7 linked regions of the Mus musculus genome follow. The protein of the gene in region 1 interacts with the protein of each later gene in a pairwise test. Links are inferred from orthologs where the notes say so. Each region holds a gene or a part of one and is shown in the gene's direction. Other genes may lie near its edges.

Region 1 (4,273 bases):
GGGATGTTAGGGTGACATGCTGGGGATGACGTCACCATTACTCTGTTTTTCCGTGCGGTCAGGCATTCATGTTCAGAACTCTCACAACTACAGTTTTAAAATCTGGGCCCAATTGAGGGGCGGTGGGAGGAGATAGTACAACTCTCTAAGAGTTTCTGGCCAAGTTCCTCGTAGTTCCTCTGGGCTTAGCTTTCTTTCTTTTTATTTTAAAGATTTATTTATTTATTTCATGTATGTGGGTACACTGTCACTGTCTTCAGACACACCAGAAGAGGGCATTGGGTTCCCATTACAGATGGTTGTGAGCCATCATGTAGTTCCTGGGGTTTGAACTCAGGACCTCTGGAAGAGCAGTCAGTGCTTTTTTTTTTTTTTTTTTTTTTTTCCCCAAATGAGACAGGGCTTCTCTGTATAACTCTGGCTGTCCTGGAACTCACTCTGTAGATTGGGCTGGCTCGAACTCAGAAATCTGGCTGCCTTTACCTTCCAAGTGCTGGGATTAAAGGTGTGCGCCACCACTGCCCAGCAGGTCTCATTTTAACAGCACAGTTCTAGGTTGAAATCTTCAAGACAATCCTGAGGTAAAGTGGCACAGGATCAAACCCCAGACAGAGCACAGTGGTTTAGAAGGGCTGTCCCAAGGTTGCCCAGCTGGTAGCTGCACTGAGTCATGGCTTTATTATCGGCACAGGGGAACGGGCAGGAAACAGGTTTTTGTTTTGTTTAGTTTTCTAAGTGAAAATAACTCCTGTAATCCCGGTTTGTAGGATTGCTCACTGCGAACATGCAGAAGGGGACAGCCTGGAAAGGAACACTGACGACAGACCAGGTGCAGAGAACCATTAGTGGCATTTCTGGCAACAAATGCACATCGATGCTGCATAGCTCCTATTGCATGATACGTAAGCATGTCACATATAATCTCTATCACAGTGACAGTGTCCCCACGACCAGCTTGTCCATAAGGAAGTCAGGCAACTTTCCAGACAATGCCACTGAACGAGCCCGGAACGTCTGAGACCGATGCCAGGTAGAGTAGGTAGGACGGGTTTGGGAGCGTACAGCCCATTTGAGCCGCTGACACTACAAGTCCCAGCAGCCCTCAGGGCAGGGAAGGCATGGGGCAGCCAGAATCCGGATGGACTACAAATCCCAGCAGGCAAATCATGGCCGCAGAGACTACCAGTCCCAGGACGCATCGTGCCACACACAGCGCACACTGGGATTTGTAGTCGTCAGGGCAGCGTTAGTGTGTTCACACCCATCAAAGAGGACGTACATTCCTCAGATTGAACACTGGAGGATTTACTGCTTTAGCAAGTAACATGGACGTGAGATGGGGAAGTAAGGGCCCAGCGAGTCAACTCTCGGAGCAGGGGAGGACAACTGCGCATGCTCGTTGGAGTCCGTCGGCGAAAGCGCGCGCCAGAGGCGCCCAGAGCAGGCCCCGCCCCCTTCCCGACCGGCCCCGCCCTTGAGCCGGGAGCCCAGGGAGCCTGCGCTGAGGGCGGGGCGCAGGCCGTGGGGAGGCGCTCGCGGCGCCTGCGCAGAGCGGCTGCTTCTCTCGCGAGGACGGACGCCATTATCGCAGCTCCCCGACAAACACCACGAGAATTCCGCAGCCCACACGGTAATTGCAGCTCCCGCAGCCGGTCGCGCCTCCACTCCCCCTTCCCGCGGGGCGAGAGCGAGAGCGAGAGCGAGATCTCCGGCCGCCCCCGCCCCGCCCCGCCGCCAACCGTCGCCAACGGCCACGGGGCCGCACGCCGGGCTGGGCGGGGGCCGGCGGGCCGCGGGATGTCCGCGCGTCGCCTCCGCGCCTCCACCCGCCGGGGCTGCGGGACCCGGGAAGCGAGCGAGCGAGCGGGCGAGCGGCCGAGGCCCGGCGGCCGTGCTCGCGTGCGTTCGGCTCCGGGGCCTCGGCGCCTCCCGGGCCCGCGCCCGGCGCTCCTGTCACGGGCTCGGCGCGCGGGCGCTGTGGCCCTGGCTCGGCCGCCCAAGTCTCTCAGGACTGAGCCTCGCGCGCTGCGCCCGGGCCCCGCGCGCCGCCCCGCCGCCTAGGTGGCCCCATCTCCCGGCCGTTGTTGGCGCTATGCCCCGGTAACCGGGTGACTTCGCCCTGGTTGGCGCGTCCGCCCGCCTCTGCTCTGCTCTCTGTTGACATCGGGGCCGAGACTGGTGCTCGCTTCCCCACCTAGCGTCACGTCCCCGTCCCGCACAGCCTGGCTCTTTTTTTTCCTTGTTACTTGTGGTGGCCTTTGTTTCTCTGCTCCTGGTGACATTGTAACTTCTCGGAGATAGTGTGGAACCTCCGGCTTCCCTCTACCTCCTCTCTGCCTTTCTTCTAATCTGGGTTGGGGACGCTTTAGGCGGGTGCAGGTAGGTCCCGAGGTCTTTCTTTCGCTGCACGCCTGGTCAGCTCAGGACGCAGTGTTTCAGTCAGCTTTCTTCTTGAGTCCCCAGGGAGCCTCTGCCAAGGACTTCCTTTCTGGTAACTGTTTCCTCCCTGGACCGGCCTAAGGTCTTCTTGGCATTGGAACAGGTCTGCCCTTCGCAGGTATGCTCGGTAGGCGTGTCCTCGAGCGCTGGGAGATTGTCCCAAGAGCCTTTCTTAAAGTCGTTAGAGAGTTTGTCGCCCTCCCCCCCACCCCCGCCCCATTTGGGCACACTACTTGAGTTTCTTTATCTTTCTATTCCTTTTTGATTTTCATTCCAGGAAAGAACTTCAGTTTATCTTTCACCCCAGTGGCGCAGGACTTTTAATTCCAAGCACTTAGGAGACAGAGGCAGGTGGATCTTTGCCAGTTTGAGGCAACCTCGTTTACATAGTGTTTACATAGGCAACCTCCCCTATCTCGGGGAGGGGGCCGGCGAATCCACCATCAGAATTGTAGTTTCTGAGCAGGGCATAGAGAGGTACACACCTCTAGCCCCAGCACTTGGGAGGCAGAGGCAGGCGGATCTCTTAAGTCTGACACCATCCTGCTCTACAGAGTGAGTTCTAGGACAGCCAGAACTACACAGAGAAACCTTGTCTTGAAAAACGAAACAAACAAAAAAAAATTTCTGAATGTATTTGTTCTTTTCCTTTTGTTCAGTAGTTTGTTTCATGAATATGTTTTCTCTTTCAGGCTGAGAAAACTATTAGGGGTTCTTTTCAGTTCTCTTATCTGACTTCTTGTTTATCACTTTTGGGGGGTGGGTGGTAAATGTTAGCTTCTTGCTTTGGATGGCAGGTCCTCCAATAGTGCTAATTATTATTGCTTAAACCTTAGACTTTAAGGTAAGAGGAAACTGGCAGGGGGCCCTGGGTCTGTGGAGAGGGGTTTAAAAATGGTTTTCCCCACTAGTGTCTGGGAGAGGTTGTTACCTCAAGACTTGGAGGACCACATAACAGACACCTTATATCTGGGCTGTTTATGCATCTTCCAGGGTCTGTCTCCCTTTGCTTGGAAGCTGTTTTGCTTGTCAGGGGTGGCTGTGGAGACTGCTGAGGGCCAGGTGGGGCCTGGAGCCCCACTCCTGTGTCCTGCAAGCTATCTAGATCCTCTGTCAGAAGTTTAAGTCTTTGGCTGTGCTCTATTTTCTTGTGAGCTGATTGTACTGTAGTAAGTATTTTAGTGGGGTAAGTGGAGATTGTTTACAAGGCCACTCATCTTGAACAGGAATTTCAAAGCCTGTTGTCTTCATTCAGACAATTTGTCTCCTTCCATTTTTTGCTCTTTGTGACGGATGTGTGCCAGAACATGGTGTCTGGCTGCCTCCAGTTGACTGGGTGGTCCTTTGGTAGGGTACCGGGATGCAGAGGACTGGTCCCACACTGAGATTAGGATGCAGAGGACTGGTCCCACACTGAGATTAGGCACTTGATTTGACTTGTCTGGTGAGCTCTGAGTTTAGCCTCTTCACTTTGTTGCTGGGCTAGTGCAAGTAGCTAGCATATTATGCATGGTTCATTGATCCCGAGGTGCGCAGTGCAGTGTTTGCCGCGCCCATAGCACAGGGATAGCGAGGCGCTGTTTTGGGCTGGCACCCTTGCCCAGGGCCTTGCAGCAGAGTCCACAGCAACCCACACTTCATGAGCATTCTGAGGTCCACCTGCAGAGTTAGTCTGTGGTTAAGAATTTCAGAGAAACTGAATGAGCTTCCTCTTCCCCTTCATTTTCTCTCTTGGCTAACAGGAAGGTTACCTAGATTATAAAGACCATACACACGTTTCAATGTCCCACTGACATCTTTTGTTTGTTTTGTTTCAGGATGTAATTCAAGACTC
Region 2 (4,227 bases), on another chromosome or scaffold:
GAGGCCAAAGCTCCAAGATAAGAAACAGGGAAAAGCAAAGGATTGACTCTTGAGTCTTACACCTCCATTTCCTCGCCTCTCCCTACCAGATAACCCTCTTCTCCATCTACTCACCGGCTTCCCGCACCTTCCGAGCATCCACGGCAAACTTCTTTTTCCCCCTGGTTCTCCTTGTGGGTCTGGCGATCTCTGCAGTTCCCGTGCTTTACAGTATCTTCCTGTAAGTACGAGAGACTTCTGTTTGTTCTCACTCTAGCTCGACTTGACTGAATCCAGTGTGTCTCCCCCTACAGGATCCCACCTTCGAAACTGTGTGGCCCGTTCCGCGGGAAGCTGTCCATTTGGGCCCAGATCCCTGAGGCCATTGAGAGCCTCCCTCAGACTGCCCAGAATTTTCTCTACTTTCTGGGAACCCAAGCTTTTACTGTACCTCTTCTGATCCTCTCTAGGTGAGCAGTCAGACTTTGAATGTGTGTAATTTAGTGTTTGAAAGAGAAAGGAGTTTCTGGGCACCTGAGTGCTAGAGAGGTGGGCTGGGTGCCTATATACAACAGAGACGTGGGGCTGGCCGGGATGCCTATAAATCAAGAGCAGGAGAGTCGGAGTGTGAATGCTTAGGGTCTAAGAAAAGACATCTGGGTTTGGATTCCTGGTCTGAGGAAAGGAGGGCTAGGGTGTGGATTTATCGATTTGATGAAGGGGGAGGAGGTATGGAGCCTGAACCTCTAGTTTAACCTCTGGTTAAAGGGTCTGAACTTTTGGGTCTAAAGAGAGAGGATAAAGACTTGTGTTCAGAGTCTCAAAAAGGGTTTTAAGGGATTTGAGGATCCTGATATTGGTTTCTTTAATTTACTTATTCATTTAATTTTTATGTGTGTTGGTATTTGGACAGTGTGACTGTCTGTGTGAAGTAACGAACTTGAGTTACAATTGTAAGCTGCCATGTGGGGCTGGGAATTGAACCCCGGTCCTTTGGAAGTGCAGCCAGTGCTCCGGTTACGAGCCATCTCTCCAGCCTGGTTTCTAAGGAGCCATATGATGAAGATGATTGTTTTTCTAGAGTGATTTTCATTCCTGTCTTCCATAGCATCCTGATGATGTATACCGTAGCCCTGGCTAACTGTTACGGACGCCTCATCTCTGAGCTCAAACGCCAGATAGAGACGGTGAGCCAGGCTGATTTCCCCGGAAAGGGCTCTATGAGACTATGAAAGAAGAATGAAAAGGTGTGCTTCACTTTCGCTCCTTTTTGCCCGCAGGAAGTGCAGAATAAAGTCTTCCTGGCCCAGCGAGCTGTGGCTCTGAGCTCAAGGAATGGAACTTCCTGATAAGTCTGGCTGAACCTTCAGCCCCTCAGCTTCAGTGACTTCATATCAAGTGATGGGACTCTTTCATCTCTGGAACCAAATTCCCCGCCCTCTGCCACCCGAATGCTACACTCTCAATTGAACCGTATTAATAAACAACAGTCAAGGCCGCTTTGCGTTTTGAAACCCCGTTCTGAAGCCTCGGACGGGGTTTGGGGAGGGGCCAGGTCCAAATCGGCCTGAAGAGCTAGGTTATGTCTGCTTAAAGGAATAGACAGGCAACAGCCTCATCAAGCAGCGTCCGGGGGTGGAGCAACTCAGGTTACAAATGCTTAGGATTGGCTGAGATGGAAGGCTCTCAGCCAATAATCTCTAAACAAGGCTAGGATGGGACGTGACAATTGGCCCAGAACCAATGCACGAGCAAGGGTGGAACCATGGGGCGGGAGCATCCTCGAGCCAATCGGAAGTGCTGAAGAGTGGGCCTGACAGTCCGAGGTCGGCACTGGAGCCATGAATATCTTGCCGAAGAAGAGCTGGCACGTCCGGAACAAGGACAATGTTGCCCGCGTGCGGCGCGACGAGGCCCAGGCCCGGGAGGAGGAGAAGGAGCGGGAGCGGAGGGTGCTGCTCGCCCAGCAAGAGGTAAGCCTGGGGACCGCCCAGAAGCGCGGCGGGCCTAGCTATCACTCGGTGCCGGGAGCGGGTCTGTGTGTTCGACGATGTTTCTCTGAAAATCCTGTGCTAACTTCCAAGAAACCTTCCTAGATTTCCCCACTGGTGTTGAGGGACCAGAGACTAGCATACTGGAAGAGTTGGACAAATATTCTGATTACTTTATAGGTTGCCCGCACAAGTTAATTACTGATCACCCACTCTGTGTATGCTCCCTTCCTTCTGAGCGCTTGCTTTGAGAAATTCCCTCTTAGAACAACTTGGAGGGGTGCGGTCACCTTGCTCTGAGTACAACGGCTTCAGCAAGGAGGGCAAAGGGCGGACAAGCCGGGGTCCACTTCGTTGGGCATGTCTTTTCTCCCTCCCTCATTGCTTGCCAAGAAAAGAGCATCTGGAGGTTTTATTTGGAACAGGGTCTGTGTAGCCGTGGCTGTTATGGAACTGGCTACGTAGACCAGGCTGGTCTTGAACTCAGCTTGCCTGTTCCACTTGAACGCTAGTATTGAAGACCACACACACATCACAGACTCTAAGTTACTCGATTAGTTTGGTTTACACTTAAGTCCCTTGGCCAATCTGATCATGAATTAGTGTGGGCTTAAAAAAAAAAAAAAAAGCCGGGTAGTGGCGGTGGCGCACGCCTTTGATCCCAGCACCTGGGAGGCAGAGGCAGGTGGATTTCTGAGGCCAGCCTGGTCTACAAAGTGAGTTCCAGGACAGCCAGGGCTACACAGAAAAACCCTGTCTTAAAAAACAAAACAAAACAAAACAAACAAACAAAAAGGTGACGCTTGTAATTAATCCCAGATACTAAGGCTGCAGAAAGGGGAGAATTGTGAATCAGAGACCATCCCTATCTGGGGTCAGGTTGTACTTGGAGTGGTGACCTGGAGCCATACCTTGGATTTAGATCCTTTGTCCAGAAAGCAATATTTGATTACCTTACAAGTTTGGGAGTATATACATACTTGTGTTGGGGACTGAATTTGGAACTACACACAAGGCAGGGGCTCTATGGCTGAACAAGCCACCTATACCTATACCTGAGTGGGTTTTCCTTGCATCACTTGAGACTGGGAAGCCTTCTGTTTTAGGTCAGGGATCTTCTCTGAACTATCTCTGATAGCCCAGTTTACTGTCTAAAAACATCGATTCTCCACTCCAAGTTAGAAATGGTATCTCTTCTTGCTCTCAATATTTGCCCCACCCCCACCCCCTCTTTTCAAGACAGGATTTTTCTGTGTAGTCCTGGAACTAACTCACTCTGTAGACCATGCTGGCCTTGAATTCAGAGATCCATGTGCCTCTGTCTCCTGAATGCTAGGTTCAAAGGTGTGTGCTACCACTGCCCTCCCTGCCCATGGACCATTCTTGTATCCTCAGCACTTCTGGGTTCTGAATGTCTTCCCTATAACCCTTCATAGGCCCGTACGGAATTCCTACGGAAGAAAGCCAGGCAACGAAACTCAGTGCCTGAGCTGGAAGCAGCAGACCCAGGAGCTCCAAGTTCTGGCCCTGTGGACCTGTTTAGGGAGCTGCTGGAAGAAAGGAAAGGAGTTCCCAGAGGCAATAAAGAGCATGAGGAAGAGAAGCGACGGGAAAAGGTAAGTTGGCCTCATTTTTTGGTGGAATCATGGGGGTGGGGACTGGCTGTGACTGTTAGGATATGGTGATAAGCACTCTAAAATTTTTAGAATATGACTGAGAGATATTACCTGTAAGTTGGTTACTGCTGTACAGCACTTAAACTGGCTAACCTTTTCCCATGGGACTAAAAAAAGTCTTAAGCTATTTTATTTTTGAGATGAGGTCACAACTACACAGACCAGGGGTGCTTTCCAATTCTCAATCCCCCTGCCTTGGCCTCCTGAGCCAAGTGTTGGGATCATAGGCACTCATCTCCAGACAGCATTTGTGCTTTTCAAACTGACTTGTACTGTGGCTCTCCTCTCTCTCGTCGAACTTTGAAGGTGCTATCTCCCACTGAAAAATCACTCCTCCACTTTGCTTTTCTGCAGGTTTTTCCTTAAACTGTTCCCAAAGCTTCTCCCATCTTCACTACTGCACAGGCCGCAGCCTCTCTTTCTTCCTCCTCCTGCAGATAAGCCCCTGGTGCTTCCTGAATGGTCTTCTGATCTCCCTTGTTAAATGACTGTCTACCAGTCCCCGTCTCCAGAAATTTGAGCCCTGGGTTTTTCTATTGCCACATCTAGGGCTCCCAGAGGGACTGAAAAGACTATTTTGT
Region 3 (3,500 bases), on another chromosome or scaffold:
GCTATACAAAAGTAACAGACTTAGGTGTGTCTTTTATGGATTGTGATCCAACTTTTCTGATTGCCCTGCTTCCTAGACCATATACTAGAACAGAAGAAACCGGGCGTGGTGGTGCAGGACTTTAATCCCAGCACTTGGGAGGCAGAGGCAGAGGCAGGCGGATTTCTGAGTTCAAGGCCAGCCTGGTCTACAAAGCGAGTTCCAGGACAGCCAGGGCTATACAGAGAAACCCTGTCTTGAAAAACTCAAAAAAAAAAAAAAAAAAAAAAAAAAGAACAGAAGGTTTCCACTGCTCTGTTCCAATTAAAAGTGGGTTTGGTTACAGTTGAGAAGGTTTAGTGAATTTTATTTTGTGTATTGTGTAAATGTAATTAAAATTCATTGTTTTATTTCTGAGGTAGGGCTTGTTATATAGCCGCCTAAACCAGCCTAAAGCTCACAGTCATCTTGCCTCGGCTTCCTGAGTGCTGAGATTATAGGTAGTCACCACACCTGTCTCTAGTGAGGGTTTAAAAAGTGACATGTATTTCTGTGTGTCTGAGTTTGAGTGTGTGTACATGAGGACGGCTCCAGAGGCGTTGGGTCCTTTGGAGCTGGAGTCACGGGTGGTTGTAAACTGCCTGACATGGGTGTGGGGAGCACCCATGTTCTCTAGAAGAGCAGCAGCAAGTGCTTTTAATGTCAGAGCCATCTCTTAGGTGCTTGTTTTCACTCTTACTAGATTCCTTGGTTCCTCTTGTAGACCTTTAATATGTTGAGAGAAATCCAGGACCCTCATTGTTCAATGCTGCGTTGTGAGATAAAGCAGGGTTGAAGGTGAGGCCCTAGGGATGACTGAAATGAGCAGAGCCCTGGCGAGTTGAACTCTTTCTTTCGGGCGTTACCTTCCTTGAGTCCCCTGTGGGCTTGGCCCAGGAGTGCACGGCTGCAGGGCAGGCGGGGCAGAGCGAGCGTCTCTGTGCTGCGCCAGTGCTGACCTGGGCCTCCTCGGGGCAGGACCAACCTGGAGGCCTTGCAGAAGAAGCTGGAGGAGCTGGAGCTTGACGAGCAGCAGCGGAAGCGGCTCGAGGCCTTTCTGACGCAGAAGCAGAAGGTGGGGGAACTGAAGGATGATGACTTTGAGAAGATCAGCGAACTGGGAGCTGGCAACGGTGGAGTGGTCTTCAAGGTCTCCCACAAGCCATCTGGCCTGGTTATGGCTAGAAAGGTGAGCTTATCTGGGTAAACAGCTAATTATCAATTAGGAGCCTGAATGGGTAAAAGAAAGGGTTTGTTTGTTTGTTTGTTTGTTTGTTTTCGAGACAGGGTTTCTCTGTATAGCCCTGGCTGTCCTGGAACTCACTCTGTAGACCAGGCTGGCCTCGAACTCAGAAATCCACCTGCCTCTGCCTCCTGAGTGCTGGGATTAAGGGCGTGCGCCACGACCGCCTGGCAAAAGGAGGTTTTTACTTAGGACTTTTTTTGTGCAGTTAGATTGAAAACCATACATTTGTCAAGTGCAGAAAGGAGCTGCTTTTTTACACCCAGTTCTAGTGACTGATGCTCAGGCCAAAGCTGAGTTTCATGGCTTCAGTCTTGACCCAATCCCTTTCCTGTTCACCACGTCATAACACGTGCCCTGTATAGAGAGACTATGTTCTACCATGTTTTTCAGCTCACCCGGCTCTTTCTTCTCTCCATGTTTGTATTGTGCCGTTCCTTCTAGCTTTCCCAGTGGCATCCATTTTGGGGACTTACCTCTTGTTTATTTCCTGTCAGCTGTTACAACTCATCAATTGTCATATGTCATACTTATTGTCTGTGGCGTGACCTTATTAAATAACATTAAATGTGTCTGTCACTTGTCTTCTGGTTAGAACAAGGGGCAATATTGAAACATATTAGGCAACAGCTGACATTTTGGCTAAATCAATCCTATCAGGTTCCTGAAGTCAAGGAGGAGCCCGTGGGGTGATTAGGGTTACCCTACGTCAATTCTGCATGCCTTTATACACCACAGCCCTACTGAACCGTGTCCAGAAGGCCGCATTTCCCTCATCTCTAGAAACTTGGCTTTAAAAATGGCTTTAGTGGGTAAAAGTATGTAAGTATGCTATACTACTGTGAGTACTCGAGTTTACATCACCAGATCCTACATAATAGCTTGATTTGTAGTATGAGTATCCGGGATCCCAGCGTTTTCATAGTGTCGTGGGAACTTGTGCCCACCTAGCCTGGCATATGCCACAGGAAAACAGTCCAGGGGCTGGAGAGAAGGATCAGCGGTTAAAAGCAGTTATTGCTCTTGCAGAGGACCTGGGTTGGTTATAGTACCCACATGGCTGCTTAAAACCATGCTTACTGCAGTTCTGCACACACATGATGCACATACATATACTCAAGCATACACATATACAGGTGAAGGTGAGGACAGACACCTGAGGTTGTCACCTGACCTCCACATGTGCACTATTACATGAGAGTACCTTTATTCACACACGTGCTTACACACACATACTTAGACTTTACACACCCACACAAAGGTAAATTAATAATTATAATTTTTAAAATTTATTTTTCCAAGTGTAGGGGTTCATGGCTGTAGTAAGTGTTTGAAAGAATGATGCAGTAAGATTGTGAGTTCCCTGACTGAGCTACAAAGTGAGCTAACCTGGGCAATATGGTGAGTTCCTTTTTCAAAATCATAGAGAGCTGGAATGTAGCTTGGTGGTAGAGTACTTGTATAGCGTGCTCAAGGTTCTGTGTTCAGTCATCAGCACCTTAAGCAAAGCCAAAAAGCTGTTTCTCTTCTTACCTTCAGAAACTTAAATCTTGAAGAAAGACATTCTTCTTTACTCCACTTCTTAAAAGCTTTCCCCTCCCGTCTTCCCTTCAGCTGATCCACCTGGAGATCAAACCCGCAATCCGGAACCAGATCATCCGGGAGCTGCAGGTACTGCACGAGTGCAACTCCCCGTACATCGTGGGCTTCTACGGGGCCTTCTACAGCGACGGCGAGATCAGCATCTGCATGGAGCACATGGTGAGCAGCTGGCTGTCAGTCTTTGCAGTGGCCTGGGAACAGGCTGGCTCTGGCCTCATTGTTGGTTTGGATGGCGACCAGCTCTTCCCTGCCTCCCCATTCCACACCCTAGAGGCCTAGGAGACCCGGGGGCCTGACTGGAGTCTGGTATAGTCACAGGATGACAGCATTGCTTCTCTTCAAAGAGAGGTGTTAGATGCCAGGAATTCTCAGTGGGCTTTTCTCCAGTATATTTCCTAATTTTCTCCTATTTTGATAGCCATAAGATTTTGATGTAGTTCAAATCTGGCTAATACAGTATAAGTCCAGTCTATGTCTCTGCCTTCAGAAGGTTTATGATATACTTTAAGGGCAGCCTTGGGATTTTTTTTGGAGGAGCTGACGAGAGCACCCCCCCCCCCCCCCACACACACACACTAGTGAAAGGTAAGAGCAAGTCAGGGAGTGGGTGTTTATGGGCCAGTTACATGTGTGGGAG
Region 4 (4,218 bases), on another chromosome or scaffold:
GCTCTGTAGATCAGGCTGGCCTCCAACTTATAGAGATCCGTCTAGCCTCTGCCTACCAAGTGCTGGGATTAAAGGCATGCACCACCACTGCTGGGCTAGCAGTAAACACTCTTAAGTCCCAAGCCATCTTTCCAGGCCCTTCTTTTTATTTTAATTTTTTGTTTTGTTTTTTATTTATTAATCTTTTTGTTTATATTTCAAATATTATCCCTCTTCCTTGTCTCCTCTCCATGAACCCCCCTCCCCTTTGCCTCTAAGAGGGTGCTCACCCCACTAGCATCCCCCTTCTCTGGGACATCAACCCTTCTTTTTATTTTTATTTTATGTGTATGGGTATTTTGCCTCTGTGCATATGTACATGTATATGTATATATGTACCACGGGCATGTCTGGTGCCATGGACCCCCTGGAACTGGGGTTACAGATAGTTGTGAGCTGCAGACAGTTGTGAGCCACTATGTGGATGCTGGGAATTGAGCCCTGGTCCTCCAGAAGAGCAGCCAATGCTCTTAGCTACTGAGCCACCTCTTCAGCCCCCTTCTTTTTATTTTTAAGATTTCACTAAATTGGACTGGAGAGATGGCTCAGCGGTTAAGAGCTGCTCTTAACTGAGGTCTCTTAACTGACTGCTTTTCCAGGGTCCTGAGTTCAAATCCCAGCAACCACATGGTAGCTCACAACCCTCTGTAATGAGATCAGATGCCTTCTGGTGTGCCCAAAGATAGATGCAGTGTACTTACATATAATAAACAAATTATATATATATATATATATATTTCACTAAATTGAAAGCCTGAGAGTGAACTCACACTGTAGTCCAGGCAGGCCTTGAATTGTGATCCTCCTGTCTCACCTTCCCAAGTAGTTGGGATTCTGATGGGAGAGGACCAAGGTGAGTCACAGACTAACCCAGTTGGAGAGATGTATTAGGCCCAGAACATTCCCAGAATTCCTCATCATGGAATCACTGGGACTTCAGCGTCTAACAGGGAAGATCTCAGAGGTGAGTATTACTAGAACGTTCCTGATCTCTTTGCAATTCGAGAGAGATATTGGGACTGACAGGGAGAGGCCAAGCAAGGAGGGTGGCTGATGGCAGATGGAGGAGAGGTGGGGAGGCCACTCTCATACTGTCCCTCTCTGGCCAGCACCTCAAACCCTAGTAGCAAAGGACAGCAGCATGAGAAAAGAGCTGGGTGGCTGACTGTTCAGAGACTGGAAGGGGACAGCAGAGCCGGTCCACAAAACACAAGAGACAAGGGACATGCATGCCTGCTTCCCCACACATACCAAACATGCGCCCCCACACAATGGCACTCACCTCTCTCTGATGACTTGGCACAGCCTCCTGACAGTTTACAACACCCGCGTGCGCGCGCGCGCGCACACACACACACACACACACACACACACACACACACACACACACACACAACCATCCACCACCCACTCTGAGCAGGACCCCAGAGCTGCAGGCTTTGCAGCCTACCAGCTGCAGGCCCTGCTCGCCCTCCCTCTCCTTTAGGGCTGGGTTTTTCCAGCCGGAACCTCGCTCCCTCTACTGCAATCTCTGGAAACTGGTGTCTGACGCGCTGCTCTCGCCTATTATTTATTTATTTCTTCTTTTCTTCCTGCTGAGACCCTCCTGTCAGAGGGAGAGCCGCAGTCCGGAGACAGAGAAAGGCAGAAGCTATAGGGGGAGCTGGGAGCAAAAAGGAGGTGGAGAGAGACTCCCATACACCCTGTCTGCTTTCCACAGAAGACCATGAGCACCGGGCAAGAGGCCAGGAGAGATGAGGGAGACTCCAGGAAAGAACAGGAAGCTTCGCTTCGGGACCGAGCCCACCTGAGCCAGCAGCGCCAACTCAAACAGGCCACCCAGTTCTTGCACAAGGACTCGGCTGACCTGCTGCCCCTGGACAGCCTCAAGAGACTCGGCACCTCTAAGGACCTGGTAAGGACCCTGACCCTTTCTCTCCTCTTCTTCATATCCTGTGTTTGGGGTGAAGGGAGGTGGTCTAAAGGGCAGAGCCTCAATCTTCAAATTTCTTTCTCCTGTTGAGATGGGAAAGATGTTTCTGCCAACTTGCAGCCCCCCAATCCTCCCCAGATCCTTCATTGGGAATGTTTCTTGGCCTGGTGGCAGTGAGGGTCCCTGGGCTCATAACTCAGCTTCCACCGTTTTCCCCCCTTAAAGCCCAAGGCTATCCTGGGGTAGTGGAGAGTCATGTTGTTCAGCGCAGCCTAGAGGACCCGGGATTCCCAGGGAATGGACACATAAGGACAGTAAGGCCTAGAGGATCCGTCACCCCGGGGTTATGACTCCTACTTCTAGATTCCTTCAAAGCTGCCCACGAATTTGCCCCATTCCTCAGACCTGCCCCCACTTTTGCCCTTTCCCCCCTATCACCCACTTACTGAGGGTCTCCTGGGCAATCAGGGGTTCATATGGCTCTGACCTGGACCTGTCTGTGTCCTTATGTCCCTTCCTCCCAAACCACTGCAGCAATTTTGGCCCCCCAGAGGGAACAGGCCGAGGGTGACAATGAGGAGGTAAGGGGGGCTAGGGTCAGCGTGCAGTCTTTGCCCCCAGGGATATAATGGTTAAGAGCACGGGCTTTGGAACCACCTTGCTTGGGACCAAATTCTGGCTGTAATTTGGAAAGTTGTCTCTGTGCCTTGTTATCTCCATCTGTTAGAAAGGAATAAAGTTGCGAGCATCCACCTGGTAAACAGGTCACCTAGGCTTCCACATACTTAGCACTGTGACATTGCCTAGCTAATAGCAACACTAAGGGAGACGATTGGGAATGCTTCTAGCTATGGGTCCTTTTAGCTTTTGAGTTGCTGGGGCTTCTGGGGGGTCCGGAGAATCCAGAATTCCATCCTGTGGGAGCTGCTTCTTCCTGGGGGGTAAATGCATTCTCTGTTGCTTTAACTGACCTGGCTCTGCCTTTCTGTCCTTCTCCAAGTCCCGTCTCAGCAGCCCAGAGAACACAGGAGACAGTTGAGGAATAGGGAGGGATGTGAGAGCAGGTTCTTTGATGTCCCAGGGCCTGGGCCTTGTGCTTCTTCATACAGTCCTACACCTGTCTTGCTCTGTGGACACTACCACCTCAGAGTAGCAAGCTCAGCCTTTTCACACCAGGGTTTCTCACCTCTCTCCTTTGCCTTACCACCTGCACGATCTGCAGCAGGTAGCGCCTATGACTTTGGGCATGAAGAAGCAACATTCTGGAAGCCCCTCTTCACGATTGGGATAGCCCTGACACACACTTCCCACAGTGAGGAGCCTGGAGTCACTGTGGAGAGAAGGGCATGGGAATTGTTTGGGTCCCAAGCTGGCTGTGCTTTCCCAGAACAGCAACTCACTGCCAGGGTCTCCTGAGGCCAAGGGTAGAAAAACAATCCCAGGCTCCCAGGGTCAGGTGGAGGAGTGTGTGGAGCTTGGGAGGCTACAGCCATTCTCCAGGAGACTTTAATTTGTTCAGAGTCTCACTATGTAGTCCTGGTGGCTTGAATCTGCTACATAGCCCAGGCTGGCTTACAACAGTGCCTTTTAAGTTTATAAACAACAGAATTAACCATACTTTAATTCTGAGCTAGGGCTATGTAGCGCAGGCTGACTTCACCTTTGTGGTGATCCTCCTGCCTCCCCACTGCTGAATGCTGTGAATATAGGAGTGTGCTACCATACAAGACTAAAACCAACCGTTTTATTTTGTGTCTTTTTCCTTTTTATTTTTAGTACTGGGAATGAGACTTAGGTCCATGTGCATGCTAGGCACATTTTTCTTTGACTGAACCATCCCAACCCCCAAGCCACGGAGCCTCCCTCTTTATGCTGAACTAGGCCCTGGGACAGAAAGATGAGCAAGACAGATCTGACTTGAAGGCCCTTCTGGGCTGCAGTGGGGGTGAAATCCAAAAATAACATCTGTGAGAATCAAGACCGAATGAGCTACAAGGGTGGAGAACGATGGAGGGCAGAATAACGCAGAGGCCAGTTCTGCAGGTGGAGTGAGAGGTAGAAGGAAGGCCCTTCTACTCAATAGAGCATAGGGAGCTATGCGTACAGATTGGCCTAGTGAGAACTGGGAGGAGGGGTTTCCAGGAGAGGTGAGCAAGGATAGAGGCTGGGGTGGAACACAATCTTCCCCGGGGAAGAGGCCTAGCGTCACTAGAGTATGAGAGCAGTGTGGTGGACAATCCAGAAAG
Region 5 (3,799 bases), on another chromosome or scaffold:
TACCCCCATGGAGCATGTGTCTACAAAGCTGTTGGGCTTTGGGAGGGTGATGCTGGAGCATAGAAGAGGATTCGGGCGGGGAACTGGTTGTCTCCTACTGCCTGGCTCTGAGAACAGGACCCCTGGTCACCTGCTTGTGGTCCTCTTAGGAATTGTGGGTTGAGAATCTGAATAGCTCAGGCACGTTTCTTGAGGTTTACAGAAAAAAACTAGCTCAGACAGGATACTTTTTGTTCAGAAACCAGACTTGTTACGGCATGGTTACAAATGCAGAAGCTTGGTTTTAGTTTTGTTGGCCCTTTTGCCTGAGGGCGAGCCTTGAGAGCGTTGAGGGCTGTCTTCCTAGGGGACCCTTGTCCCTCTGCCAGCTGTGGTAATTAGTGACAAGGTCCTCTGTGTACAGGCTGGCGACTTCACCAACCACAATGGCACAGGAGGGAGGTCCATCTACGGAAGCCGCTTTCCCGACGAGAACTTCACACTGAAGCATGTGGGGCCAGGTCTGTGGGGCGGAGCCCTGTCCAGCGCTCTTGCTGTTCATCCCGTCGCTATGGTCCACACTTGCCCGGCATCCTTGTCATGCTCCTTCTGTTAGCATCCAGGCAGCTCAGCATCTCTTACTGGGTTTCTCTAGAACTTTCTCATTCATTACTCTGTAAAAACCAAACTTCCTATTGTAATTCCAGCACTTGGGAAGCCGAGGTGGGAGAATCCAAAGGTCAAGGCCATCTTGGGCTTCAAAGTGAGACTTGTTTCAACAAACAAAAACCAAACAGATTTCCCTATGGGAATTTGGTTGGGGAGTCTTTAAGCAGAACCCAAGGCAGAGTGTGGGAGAGTCTAGAAGCCATAGCTGGGGTTTCAATCAGCGCCCCCACTGCGACCCCTGAACTCTTTCCACCCAGGCATTCCCCCATTGAAAGCCAGCTGTCAGTTAAGGCACACAAGCTCTGGGGACTGTGTCAGCACTGGTTCTCTGGTCCCAGGATCTGCAGGTTCACGCGTCCTCAATGGAGTGTGAGCCACCTGCTCTCCCTAGCAACATTTCAGGTGAGGTACCTCCTGGGGACACAGCTCACCCGTGCTTGTCTTACAGGTGTCCTGTCCATGGCGAACGCAGGCCCCAACACCAATGGCTCTCAGTTCTTTATCTGCACGATAAAGACAGACTGGTGAGTACATCACACGCAGGGCCTCTGAGAAGGAAGCTAGAGGAGGTCACAGTCGGGAGCTTGATCTGCAGCTGGCCCGTCTGCTCTGGGCCAGTGGCTTGCTTCTCGCTGTGTGTCTGTCTGAGAGACAGGGAGGAATCAAGGCACAGTTTGTTTTTCTGTGACTGTGTCCCACCTGTCTACCCCAATGGTGCTGTTGGCTAGAATTTGATTTGTGTCTTGCCTGCACACACACTGAATTTGGGAAATGCTTCAGTAAGTGGCCTCATGGTGGTCTGAGTGGAAGCCACTTTGCCTGGCTTACCCTGATGTTTCCTTGGCTTGCCTCTGCTATAGAATGTGCTTATGGAATCATGGGTTGTGAGGAATAGTTTCCTCACACACTGTTAGCATGGCCGCACATGGCTCCCAGACCTCCCAGCTTCCTTTCCCACAGTCCTATGCTGTCTAAGAATGCCTTTTCCCTGGTAAAACTTCCACCAAGCAACACCTTTCTCTGCATAGAGTTCTGAGTATCCCAGGCCTCAGGTCCCAGGAGGTCAGAGGCAACAGCTGACTGAGAAGTTTAGAAAACCTGTGTTCACAACTTTAAGGAAATCTAAGCGATGGGATGACAGCCACACAGGGCTGTCAGGGTCGGGCATGTTGGTGCCAGCCCCATCTTCTTTGCTCCTTCCATGGAAGCCTTGATGGGCCTTAAAGCTCTGCCCCAGGCTGTCCTTATTCTCAGCTGTGCTGGAGCTGAGCTAAGTCCCTGTTCTGTTCTTGGAACTCACAGATCATGAGCTACTCAACACCTCCAGGCTTCTCACACTTATTTGGTGCTCAGTTTGCCATAGTCTGTTGTGCAGATGTCTTGCTTTTTTGAGTGCTGCAATGCCCATCATTTTCCTGGGCAGAATGAGAACAACCTACTTCTCATAAGTAAGGTCACCAAAAGTCAGATCAGGCTGCCGGACAAAGCCCAGGGTGACAGAACTGGGAGCCTGGAATCCAGTGGAATGCAGCTGAAGAGCTCACAAGCGGTAACTAGGCTTTCAGGGTAGTGGTGTTCCTTTGGCAAACAACTCTGCCGAGTGGCCAGGATGCTGGGTGTTTTCTTACTTGGCTCAACCCTCCCCACAGGCTAGATGGCAAGCATGTCGTGTTCGGCCATGTCAAAGAGGGCATGGATGTTGTGAAGAAAATAGAATCTTTCGGCTCAAAAAGTGGGAAGACGTCTAAGAAGATTGTCATCACAGACTGTGGCCAGTTGAGCTAACTCACAGCCAAGGTGCTAGGACAGCAGCAGGCATCCATGTCTTGATTCACCCAGGTTCTCCAAAGAACAGTTTGCACCCACTTCTATTGAGTCTGAGGAAGGCCACTCAGGCATGGTCCTCCCAGACCAGGCTGCTCTCCACTGTCCATCCTGCCTCAGATCCCGTTTCTGGGCATCAGTATGGCCATCGGGCCATGTACCCTCAGCCGATGTCCCCGTGATTGCCATGTGCGTGTGCCTTGGACATTGGCAATGCTGACCAGTTAGTCAGGGAAGGCTCCTGACTCTTTTCCTTGATCAGTGGGGATAGCAGTTGCTATTTAATGTTGTCTTCCTCCTTGCAATAATTTAACATAGAATTCAAGATCTCATCGAAACAAAGCTGTGACACTCATGGCACTGTCCGTGTGTGACCTGTGTTGCTGTGACACTCACGGCACTGTCCATGTGTGACCTGAGTTGGCACAAGCCACAGACACCCCCAACCCCCCCACCTCCCAGCCTGGCTTCTGAGACATCACTCAGGGCTCTTGTGAAAGTCCCAGCGTCAATGCCTTCCCTCCTGGTCACTGTGAATCCTGCTGGCTGCTGCTGTGATTTTTGAAAGCCTGTGAAATAGAAGCAGCAGGACCTGGGAACAGACCTGTGAGCCCGGTCTTTCTGCTCAATGTGAATTCCCGTGGTGAAAACTTACAGACACTGCCTGACCTCATGCTGTTCTCAAGAGGGAAGTGTCTTCTGGCAGGCTTTGCTTTTTCTGTATGTTGAATAAATCCAATCTATCAATAATATATATGTAAAAGATTTCTGGGACAGTCCTGTGTGTTCATCTCAAATGTGATAAATAAATCCTATTTTCTATAAAATGGCTGTCTCTGGTTTTGGAATGAAATTTACATCTTTGGGGCTCATTTGTTTTTGTGACAGGGTCTTGCTGTGTGGTCCAGGGTCTTGCTGTATAGCCTTTGGCTAGCTTCAAACACTCTTGACCTTCCTCAATGCTGTTGGGATTACAGGCATGGAACATTGACTCCAGCTGGGGCCAGTCTTGGAGTTACTATGTGTTAGGTTCTATGCTTTGAACTGTTTTTTGTTTGTTTTGTTGTTTTATGATGCTAGGGCCTTTGTGCACACAAGCCACGTCCTCAGCCTTATTGTAAGGAAATCCGTGTAGAACATTCTGTGTCCTAACCCCAAGTACTAGCTCAGAAGCCACTGAGAACATCCTTGCTACCATCTGTCCTGTAGGATGGTCCAGACAGTCCCCACCGTGAGCACTACCTCTAGGTGAAGTCCCAGCTATGCTTAGTGATTGAGCTTCAGTTTCTCTCAGCTACATAATGTGTACATGACATCTAGGTCTGGA
Region 6 (3,500 bases), on another chromosome or scaffold:
CACCTTGGTACCAGTAAGGAATTCCAATGTGATTCTGCTAGCATTACATACTCTTTCCACTGCCTGAAACTTCCTGTGAACAGCCTTGTCACATTGGTAAGATGCTTATGTATGTTTGTTGAATCTGAATTAGATAAAGAGGTATGAGCTTCTAAGGTCCTTTAGAATCCTAAAACCTTATTACTTTTTCTTTAGGATCCCTTGATCATATTACTGTGGTAACTGCTGATGGGAAGGTTGCTCTAAATCAGATTGGCCAGATCTCCATGAAGTCGCCACAGGTGATTCTGGTGAATATGGCCAGCTTCCCAGAGGTAAGGTGCCTTATTGTAAGGGTCTGTCTTCAGAGTTTCTTTTGGAATAAAGGAGGTTTGATCAGGTCAGAAGGAAATGTTCCCTTTTGTTTGGGAAGAAATTTATGAAAGAAAATTTAGGATAAAAAAAAAGCTCTCTTATTTCTATATTTCTTACCTGTTAAACTCAAATGTTACAGTGACCAAGTAAGTAATTTGAAAAACAATAATGGAGAGTAGTGACTGACTCTTGGGGCAGTGTAAGGGTCTGCTAACCTGCTGTCTTAGTTACTTTTCTATTGCTGTGACAAATCACTATGACCAAGGCAACTTAAAGAAGAAAGCACTTAATTCGAGTCTCATAGTTCCAGGGGGTTAGTCTCTGACCATCATGGAGGGGAACATGGTAGCAGGCAGGCAGACATGGAGATGGAGCATAGCTAAAAGCTTTTGAAACTTTAAAACTGACCCCCAGAGACACATCTCTTCCAACAAGGCCACACATAATAATCCTTCCCAAACAGTTCCACAAAATGGGGACCAAACATTCAAATATATGATTCTAAAGGGGCCATTCTCATTCAAACCACCATACCTGGAAGTAGTCACGCGGCCTGTTTCTGAGTCACCTCTGCCCAGTTCTTGCAGAAGACTGCAGGGTAGAAATGTAGGCCTGGTAATTCCTATTAACAGATGCTTCAATTTTTAGTTTCAAAAGAAGCTAGTAATCCTGAATGTTGTACAAAGTATCGTTTGTTGTCTAAATGTTTTGGAATAATCCACTTTTCTCTTTTAAAAATGTCTGGCAGCCAGGAGTGCTGACTTGTGTCTGTTATCTCAGCTCTTAGGAGTTAGAGGCCGGAGGACCAATGAGACTGCCTCAAAATAAACTAGAAACTCTTGAGACAGATTAAATATTTTAATGGGCTAGCTACGGCCCGAGGTCCATTTTGTGAGCCCTGTATTAGAATCTGGAGAAGACCCTCCAGGAAGTCAGCTTGGTTCAGACGAGACACCAATACATGTAGTGCCTGGCTTTCGAGACTGGAGGATGAGCTGCGTCTCACCCTCAGGCTGCAGCTGAGAAACCTAGAGAACCTGAAATCTGGTCCTAGCTCCACCTCCAACTGGCCTGGTCCTCTGGTCCTGGTCTTCCTCTCTGGGCTTCCATTTCCTCGCCTTCCTGCTCTCGTCTCTGTCTCAGTAGATTTGTCTGTGCCCTGGATTTGACAAACTAGCTTAGCACAGGAGCAGAACTAACCATCTCCAACCAGAAGACTCCTGAGGCTACCAGGCCAGTTGAGCTTCTAGAGCTACAGCTACTCTCTGCCCCACTCCAGTCCAGTCCTACAGCCTAAGTGAACTTGAATGTTTCAAAGTGTAGATTGGGTTGTGCCATTCTCATAATTCAAACAGTCTTTAAGAAATGAAAGCCCAGCCGGGCGTGGTGGCGCACACCTTTGATCCCAGCACTCGGGAGGCAGAGGCAGGTGGATTTCTGAGTTCGAGGCCAGCCTGGTCTACAAAGTGAGTTCCAGGACAGCCAGGGCTACACAGAGAAACCCTGTCTCGAGGCCCTCCCCCCCCAAAAAAATGAAAGCCCAAAAGTTTTATTGTGATCAAGAAGGCTTTAGGTGATCTGGCCTTGGCCTGCTTCCAGTCTTTGCAGTCCTGTGGCACTGTATCCTGGTACGCCGCTCTGCTCATACTGGCCTTAAAGCACATCATGCCTTCTGCATCTTCTGGGCCTTTGTAGGTACTGCTCCTGTGACTTGAAACACTTTGGCTGGCTATTTACTCCTCCTGTGTTGAGGTACAGTATGACTGTCACTTACCCACTAGGTTGTAAGCTTTTAGTAGAAGAGTCATATATAATGTGTTCATTTTATCCACATCAAACACAGTGCCTGGACCACGAAAGCGTTCCATACATTGTCCTTAAACTGGTGGATATGTGTTATCAGGTTAATGGGAAGGAAGCACTTATTCATAGTGTTACTGAGGAGCATAGAAATGGATGCAAAGGAAACTGTCAGCTTTCCCTCCTTGGCCCCCTCTGGACCACTGAGGCCTCTCCTCCCTGTTCATCTAATCCCATAGGCACTGTAAGCCAATTTAGGGAATAGCCTCCTAATTACAGTTTGAAGACCTCATCAGACAGATTGCTTTTCAGAGCCAGCCACTTCTCTTATTAAATAGCAAATGTTATTCACAGAAGTAGCACCTGATTGGCCACCAGAGCATCTCTTATGAAGCAGGAGGAGGTATTAACTGCTTAATTTTTTCTTAGGAAGTTGGAGTATATTTTCATCTTTCGGCTAAAGTATCTTTGCCATCTCTTTAGTATGCAGTTCCCTGGGTTTTGGGAAAAGCTTTACCAGTGTCTCAGTAGTGGGGTCCATGTACAGGCACAGGGAGGAAGTGGTAGTTACGTTGTCCTTTGAATTTCTTGTTCTCATCTGGTGTATACATTAAACAAACAGCTCTAACTAAACATTTCCTTCCTCCAGCTTTAGAAGCTGCCTATAGAGTACTAAGGTTCATAGCTTCAAAATGCTGAGCTAATCCTCCTTGTGTTTATAGAATTCCTCTCGGTTTCACGTGCAGTTGACTTTCTTTCCAAACCTGAACATTTCTGTGTCATGCTGTTGTGACACAGTACAGATTTACATGTAAAATCTTTCAAACGCATTGAAGGCAAAAACTGTGTTGCATTTGTTTAGCATATATTTTGCTTGATAAATGGTGCACACAGTTGCTCCCTTTCCTAAACATGCCTGAAGCTACAGTTAATGATGAGAGAGAAAAGAAGCGAATAAAAACCATAGCATCATTTGAATAAAGCAAAGAACAACAACAACAAAAATTATCAGTCTCCGTTATTTTTCTGTGGATGGAAGATGTGTGGATCTCTGCTGGGTTGGTGGTCACCTTCTTACAGCTTCTTTCACACACCAACAGAAAGACTAACACAAGTGTTCTGTTTTGTGGCTCAGGCAGCAGCAGGCTCAGAGAAGGGAGCCACCTCCCCCAGCTTCACACTGCTATTGCACAGAGCTCTGCTTGACATGGAGGCTTTGGAGTCCTCCAAGTTAGTAGGTTCTATATGTAGGCTGGGAACTCAATGATGCTTAAGAGGTCCTAGAGGTCTGTTTCCATGTACCTTGTATTATAAGGGCTCACCGAAGTGTAAAGTGGAAGGGCAGT
Region 7 (3,500 bases), on another chromosome or scaffold:
TGGCTTCCTCAGAAACTGGTTCCGTCACTCTCTGCCAACAAACTTAAAGCGCTGAGTTCCTTTTCTAAACCCGAGACAATGGAGAGACTGGGTGGAAATGTTTGCTGCATACTAATCTCCTTTACCTTCAATGTAAGAAATAATCAGTTGTAAGCATCAGGCATTTTAAACAAAATTGGACCAGGAGATGTGGGAGGCCCTGGGGTACAGACACTCGTGACCTTGGTGGTGTTCCATTCTGTTCAGCTTGAGGTGGGCATGGGGCATTTTCCACATAGTTTTATAGGCAGCCTGACGCCAGAGTCTTCACATTCAAGATGAAAGGCCTCCTGGGAACAGACAGTTCCTCCTAATTTTTGAAGTCTTTTTTCAAAGACATGGTGGGCAGTGTAGGACTGTTAATGGTTTGGAAGTGGGGTGCTTGGGAAAAAAAAAAAAAAAAGTAAGACTGGGCCATTTTCAAACCCTGGAAAGAGCAAATGGATTGCGTTGAAATCGTGTTTTAAAACGACCAGTCAGTACCTAGCTATGGACATAAGAGTCTACAGTGGGTATAGTGCTTGCTGTATAAATGAGAGGTCCTGAGTTCAGATCCCCAACATACATGGAAAAACTTCTGCCTATAACCACAGTGCTGGTATGGTCAGCGGGAAGAGCCAAGTCTCAGGGCTTCCCAGGTCAGCCAGTCTGACCAAGTGGTGAGCTCTAGGTCAGTATGGAGACCCTGTCTCAATAAAATAAAGTAGAGAGAAATAGAAAAACAAACATGACGTTGATTGACTGCTGCTCTCCACGTGTGCCTATACCAGAGAGTGCATCCACATAAAAAGAGGGAGGGAGGGAGGGAGGGAGGGAGGGAGGGAGGGAGGGAGGGAGGGAGGGAGGGTGAACAGGCCAGTCCACTAGGTAAGATTCTGTTGGCTAACTTTGGCTCTAGATGCCAGAGTTCATGGTGCATGTATTTGACTTCTGCCAATGGCTGGATGTAGGGTATTTGCTTCCCTAGTGGAAATGGGGAGATGATGAGAGACTAGAGGACAAGACACTTCACGGCTGAGAGTCTGAGGGTTTCCTCATCAACACAATTCATTCTCTGCCGCATGGAGTCCATATCAATGGAGACAACCAGCTGTAAGCAGAAATTATTTAGAAAATAATTGCATCTACAATGAAGATGTGAAAATGTGTGACGTTGTTCTCTAAATAATACTGCATACCATCTATTGACTTGGTGTTTGTATGGTGTTTATATAACATTGTAGACTATAAAAACATTGGGAAAGGGTTTGAAGTGTGTCCAATGATATATGGAGGTTACATACAAAACACATATATGGAGGTTACTTGCAAAACACAGCACCTTGGCCTTGACCATCCAAGGATGTTGGAACAGGGTCTCCTAGAGACACTGTGGGAAACTGTATTTCCCTTGTCTCATAAAGTAAAGTGAACATCCCCAGGCAATTATAAGAACAGGACTGTTCATCAGCGGCTCTATGAAAGGATTAGGGTGACCCATGGAATTTTCAGTTATAATCACAATAATAATTTCAGATAAAGAGGCATACTGGGTTAGGTATGAGAGGAATTTTAAGTGGCCAAACTATTTGTTTATGTTCTTTACAAAAGCCTTGGAGCCTCGTTAAAAAAAAAAAAAAAAAAAAAAAAAAAAAAAAACTGTACTGTTGTACTTTAGCCACTCCGAAAGGATCAGCTAAGACTTTCATAATTTATTTTTATTTTATATGTATGTATACAAGTGTTTTATAATATATTCATACACACACACATACACACACACACACACACACACACACACATGCTTGATGCTGTTGGGGGCCAGAAGAGGCTATCAGTGCCTCTGGGACCAGAGATGAAGATGGTTGTAAGCTGCCATGTGAGTACTGGGAACCAATCCCAGGTCCTCTGTAAGAATAGCAAGTGCCAGCCGGGCATGGTGGCGCACACCTTTAATCCCAGCACTCGGGAGGCAGAGGCAGGCAGATTTCTGAGTTCGAGGCCACCCTGGTCTACAAAGTGAGTTCCAGGACAGCCAGGGCTATACAGAGAAACCCTGTCTCAAAAAAAAAAAAAAGAATAGCAAGTGCCCATAGCAAGTGCCCTTAACTGCTGATCCCTGCAGTCCAACTTTCATAATTTAAACATATCTCCTTGAATATAGGGAATTGAGAGTCCATTGATGAATTTTGATCAGATTTTTGGAAAATTCTTAAGAAAAGAAATAAACATATTTCAGTCACTTCTTTCATATTCTGACCTTGTATCTTCCTTTCCTCTCACCCTCCCATACTTTTTCTCCTTTCCTTCCTTCTTTTTCTCTCCTTTCTCTCCTTTCTCTGGTGGATTGATTAGGGATATGTTTCTCAACACAGGCTGATAAGTATGCTGAGGACTCAGGGCTGACGTTTGACATCTTTGTGTATTCTTACCCACAGGTGATCACCCCAGTGAGGACGGGCCATGGCTATGTGTACGAGTACCCATCCAGATACCAAAAGGATGTCTACGATGTCCCTCCTTCCCACAGCACTCAAGGGGTAGGCAATGGGAACATCACCAGGGGAGCTGGTGTAGGGGGCAGCAGCTCTTTAGGAACGTACAGGAGAAGAGGGACATCAGCCACAACCTTACCTTGTGGAGGTTGCCTGTCCAGAGGCCATTTCAGTCGGTGTTGCTTACATTGTATTTCTTAGGTTTGCCTTATCAGAAAGTCTAGTCTTTTATCTGAGAAATTTCTCATCTGCTTTATCGGTTTGTCATTTTATTTCTGGAAGTGTGTAATTTAAATGATCTAAATTATAGAGCAGATAGTTCACGTAAGATTGTTTTCATAGTTAACCTAAATCAAAGAATCCAAGAGTCATAAAGAAAACATCCAGAAGCCCCTGATGACATGAAACACTACTAACGACCAAGTCTATGTATGACCTGATGAATGAATCCTTACAGAAACAATAGCAAGGGACTTGAACAGCAGATTCCATTGCATTCTGGGTAACTTGAGTGTTTCTTTTCAGGTATATGACATCCCTCCTTCCTCAGTAAAAGGCCCTGTGTTTTCAGTTCCAGTGGGAGAGATAAAACCTCAAGGGGTATATGACATTCCCCCCACCCAAGGGGTAAGTGAACTGGAAAAACACAGTATGTGGATGAGTACCTCAATGTGTGGTGGGGGGGGGGAGTGGAATGTGTCATAGTTTATTGGGATAAAACAAGAATGGCAGTTCTAAAAGGGGAAAGGAGAGAAAGAAGAAAGAGAAAGAGGGAAGGAAGCAAAGGAGAGAAGAAAGCCATTATTATTACAAATTTTGAGTCCCCGAAAATATGAAGACATCAATCATGAGAGTCCATTGGAAGAGGAGATAGTATGTTCAGTTTGGCAGTATCTAACACATCACATATTTCTAGAAGGGTCTACAGCTTCCTTTGTCTCTACATAAGAAGTAGCTCATTTGATTTTTCTGTCATCTTCTGGGCCT

Evidence for each region.
Region 2: the proteins of Banp (region 1) and Leng1 interact in binary tests that used the Homo sapiens proteins (3 or more experiments, as listed by UniProt). The two-hybrid records come from large-scale screens. The link is inferred for Mus musculus from reciprocal best matches to the Homo sapiens genes BANP and LENG1.
Region 3: the proteins of Banp (region 1) and Map2k1 interact in binary tests that used the Homo sapiens proteins (3 or more experiments, as listed by UniProt). The two-hybrid records come from large-scale screens. The link is inferred for Mus musculus from reciprocal best matches to the Homo sapiens genes BANP and MAP2K1.
Region 4: the proteins of Banp (region 1) and Nrip2 interact in binary tests that used the Homo sapiens proteins (3 or more experiments, as listed by UniProt). The two-hybrid records come from large-scale screens. The link is inferred for Mus musculus from reciprocal best matches to the Homo sapiens genes BANP and NRIP2.
Region 5: the proteins of Banp (region 1) and Ppif interact in binary tests that used the Homo sapiens proteins (3 or more experiments, as listed by UniProt). The two-hybrid records come from large-scale screens. The link is inferred for Mus musculus from reciprocal best matches to the Homo sapiens genes BANP and PPIF.
Region 6: the proteins of Banp (region 1) and Mrrf interact in binary tests that used the Homo sapiens proteins (3 or more experiments, as listed by UniProt). The two-hybrid records come from large-scale screens. The link is inferred for Mus musculus from reciprocal best matches to the Homo sapiens genes BANP and MRRF.
Region 7: the proteins of Banp (region 1) and Nedd9 interact in binary tests that used the Homo sapiens proteins (3 or more experiments, as listed by UniProt). The two-hybrid records come from large-scale screens. The link is inferred for Mus musculus from reciprocal best matches to the Homo sapiens genes BANP and NEDD9.

Annotation. Positions count from the first base shown.
Region 1 is NC_000074.6:121,949,019-121,953,291, forward strand, and holds the start of Banp (protein BANP), read left to right. Parts: upstream 1-1,473; 5' UTR 1,474-1,630; intron 1,631-4,273. UniProt on the Homo sapiens protein: Controls V(D)J recombination during T-cell development by repressing T-cell receptor (TCR) beta enhancer function. Binds to scaffold/matrix attachment region beta (S/MARbeta), an ATC-rich DNA sequence located upstream of the TCR beta enhancer.
Region 2 is NC_000073.6:3,663,041-3,667,267, reverse strand, and holds the start of Leng1 (leukocyte receptor cluster member 1 homolog), read left to right. Parts: upstream 1-1,427; 5' UTR 1,428-1,820; coding exon 1,821-1,952; intron 1,953-3,406; coding exon 3,407-3,586; intron 3,587-4,227. Other genes in the region: Tmc4 (transmembrane channel-like protein 4), read left to right, coding at 90-220, 294-449, 1,088-1,166, 1,260-1,328.
Region 3 is NC_000075.6:64,212,106-64,215,605, reverse strand, and holds part of Map2k1 (dual specificity mitogen-activated protein kinase kinase 1), read left to right. Parts: intron 1-996; coding exon 997-1,207; intron 1,208-2,875; coding exon 2,876-3,022; intron 3,023-3,500. UniProt on the Homo sapiens protein: Dual specificity protein kinase which acts as an essential component of the MAP kinase signal transduction pathway.
Region 4 is NC_000072.6:128,398,348-128,402,565, forward strand, and holds the start of Nrip2 (nuclear receptor-interacting protein 2), read left to right. Parts: upstream 1-1,418; 5' UTR 1,419-1,759; coding exon of another isoform or gene 1,760-1,765; coding exon 1,766-1,954; intron 1,955-4,218. UniProt on the Homo sapiens protein: Down-regulates transcriptional activation by nuclear receptors such as NR1F2.
Region 5 is NC_000080.6:25,697,170-25,700,968, forward strand, and holds the end of Ppif (peptidyl-prolyl cis-trans isomerase F, mitochondrial precursor), read left to right. Parts: exon of another isoform or gene 1-403; coding exon 404-500; exon of another isoform or gene 501-653; intron 654-1,079; exon of another isoform or gene 1,080-1,096; coding exon 1,097-1,172; intron 1,173-2,297; coding exon 2,298-2,433; 3' UTR 2,434-3,299; downstream 3,300-3,799. UniProt on the Homo sapiens protein: PPIase that catalyzes the cis-trans isomerization of proline imidic peptide bonds in oligopeptides and may therefore assist protein folding. Involved in regulation of the mitochondrial permeability transition pore (mPTP).
Region 6 is NC_000068.7:36,153,398-36,156,897, forward strand, and holds part of Mrrf (ribosome-recycling factor, mitochondrial precursor), read left to right. Parts: intron 1-195; coding exon 196-314; intron 315-3,500. UniProt on the Homo sapiens protein: Responsible for the disassembly of ribosomes from messenger RNA at the termination of mitochondrial protein biosynthesis. Acts in collaboration with GFM2. Promotes mitochondrial ribosome recycling by dissolution of intersubunit contacts.
Region 7 is NC_000079.6:41,317,502-41,321,001, reverse strand, and holds part of Nedd9 (enhancer of filamentation 1), read left to right. Parts: intron 1-2,456; coding exon 2,457-2,558; intron 2,559-3,038; coding exon 3,039-3,140; intron 3,141-3,500. UniProt on the Homo sapiens protein: Scaffolding protein which plays a central coordinating role for tyrosine-kinase-based signaling related to cell adhesion. As a focal adhesion protein, plays a role in embryonic fibroblast migration.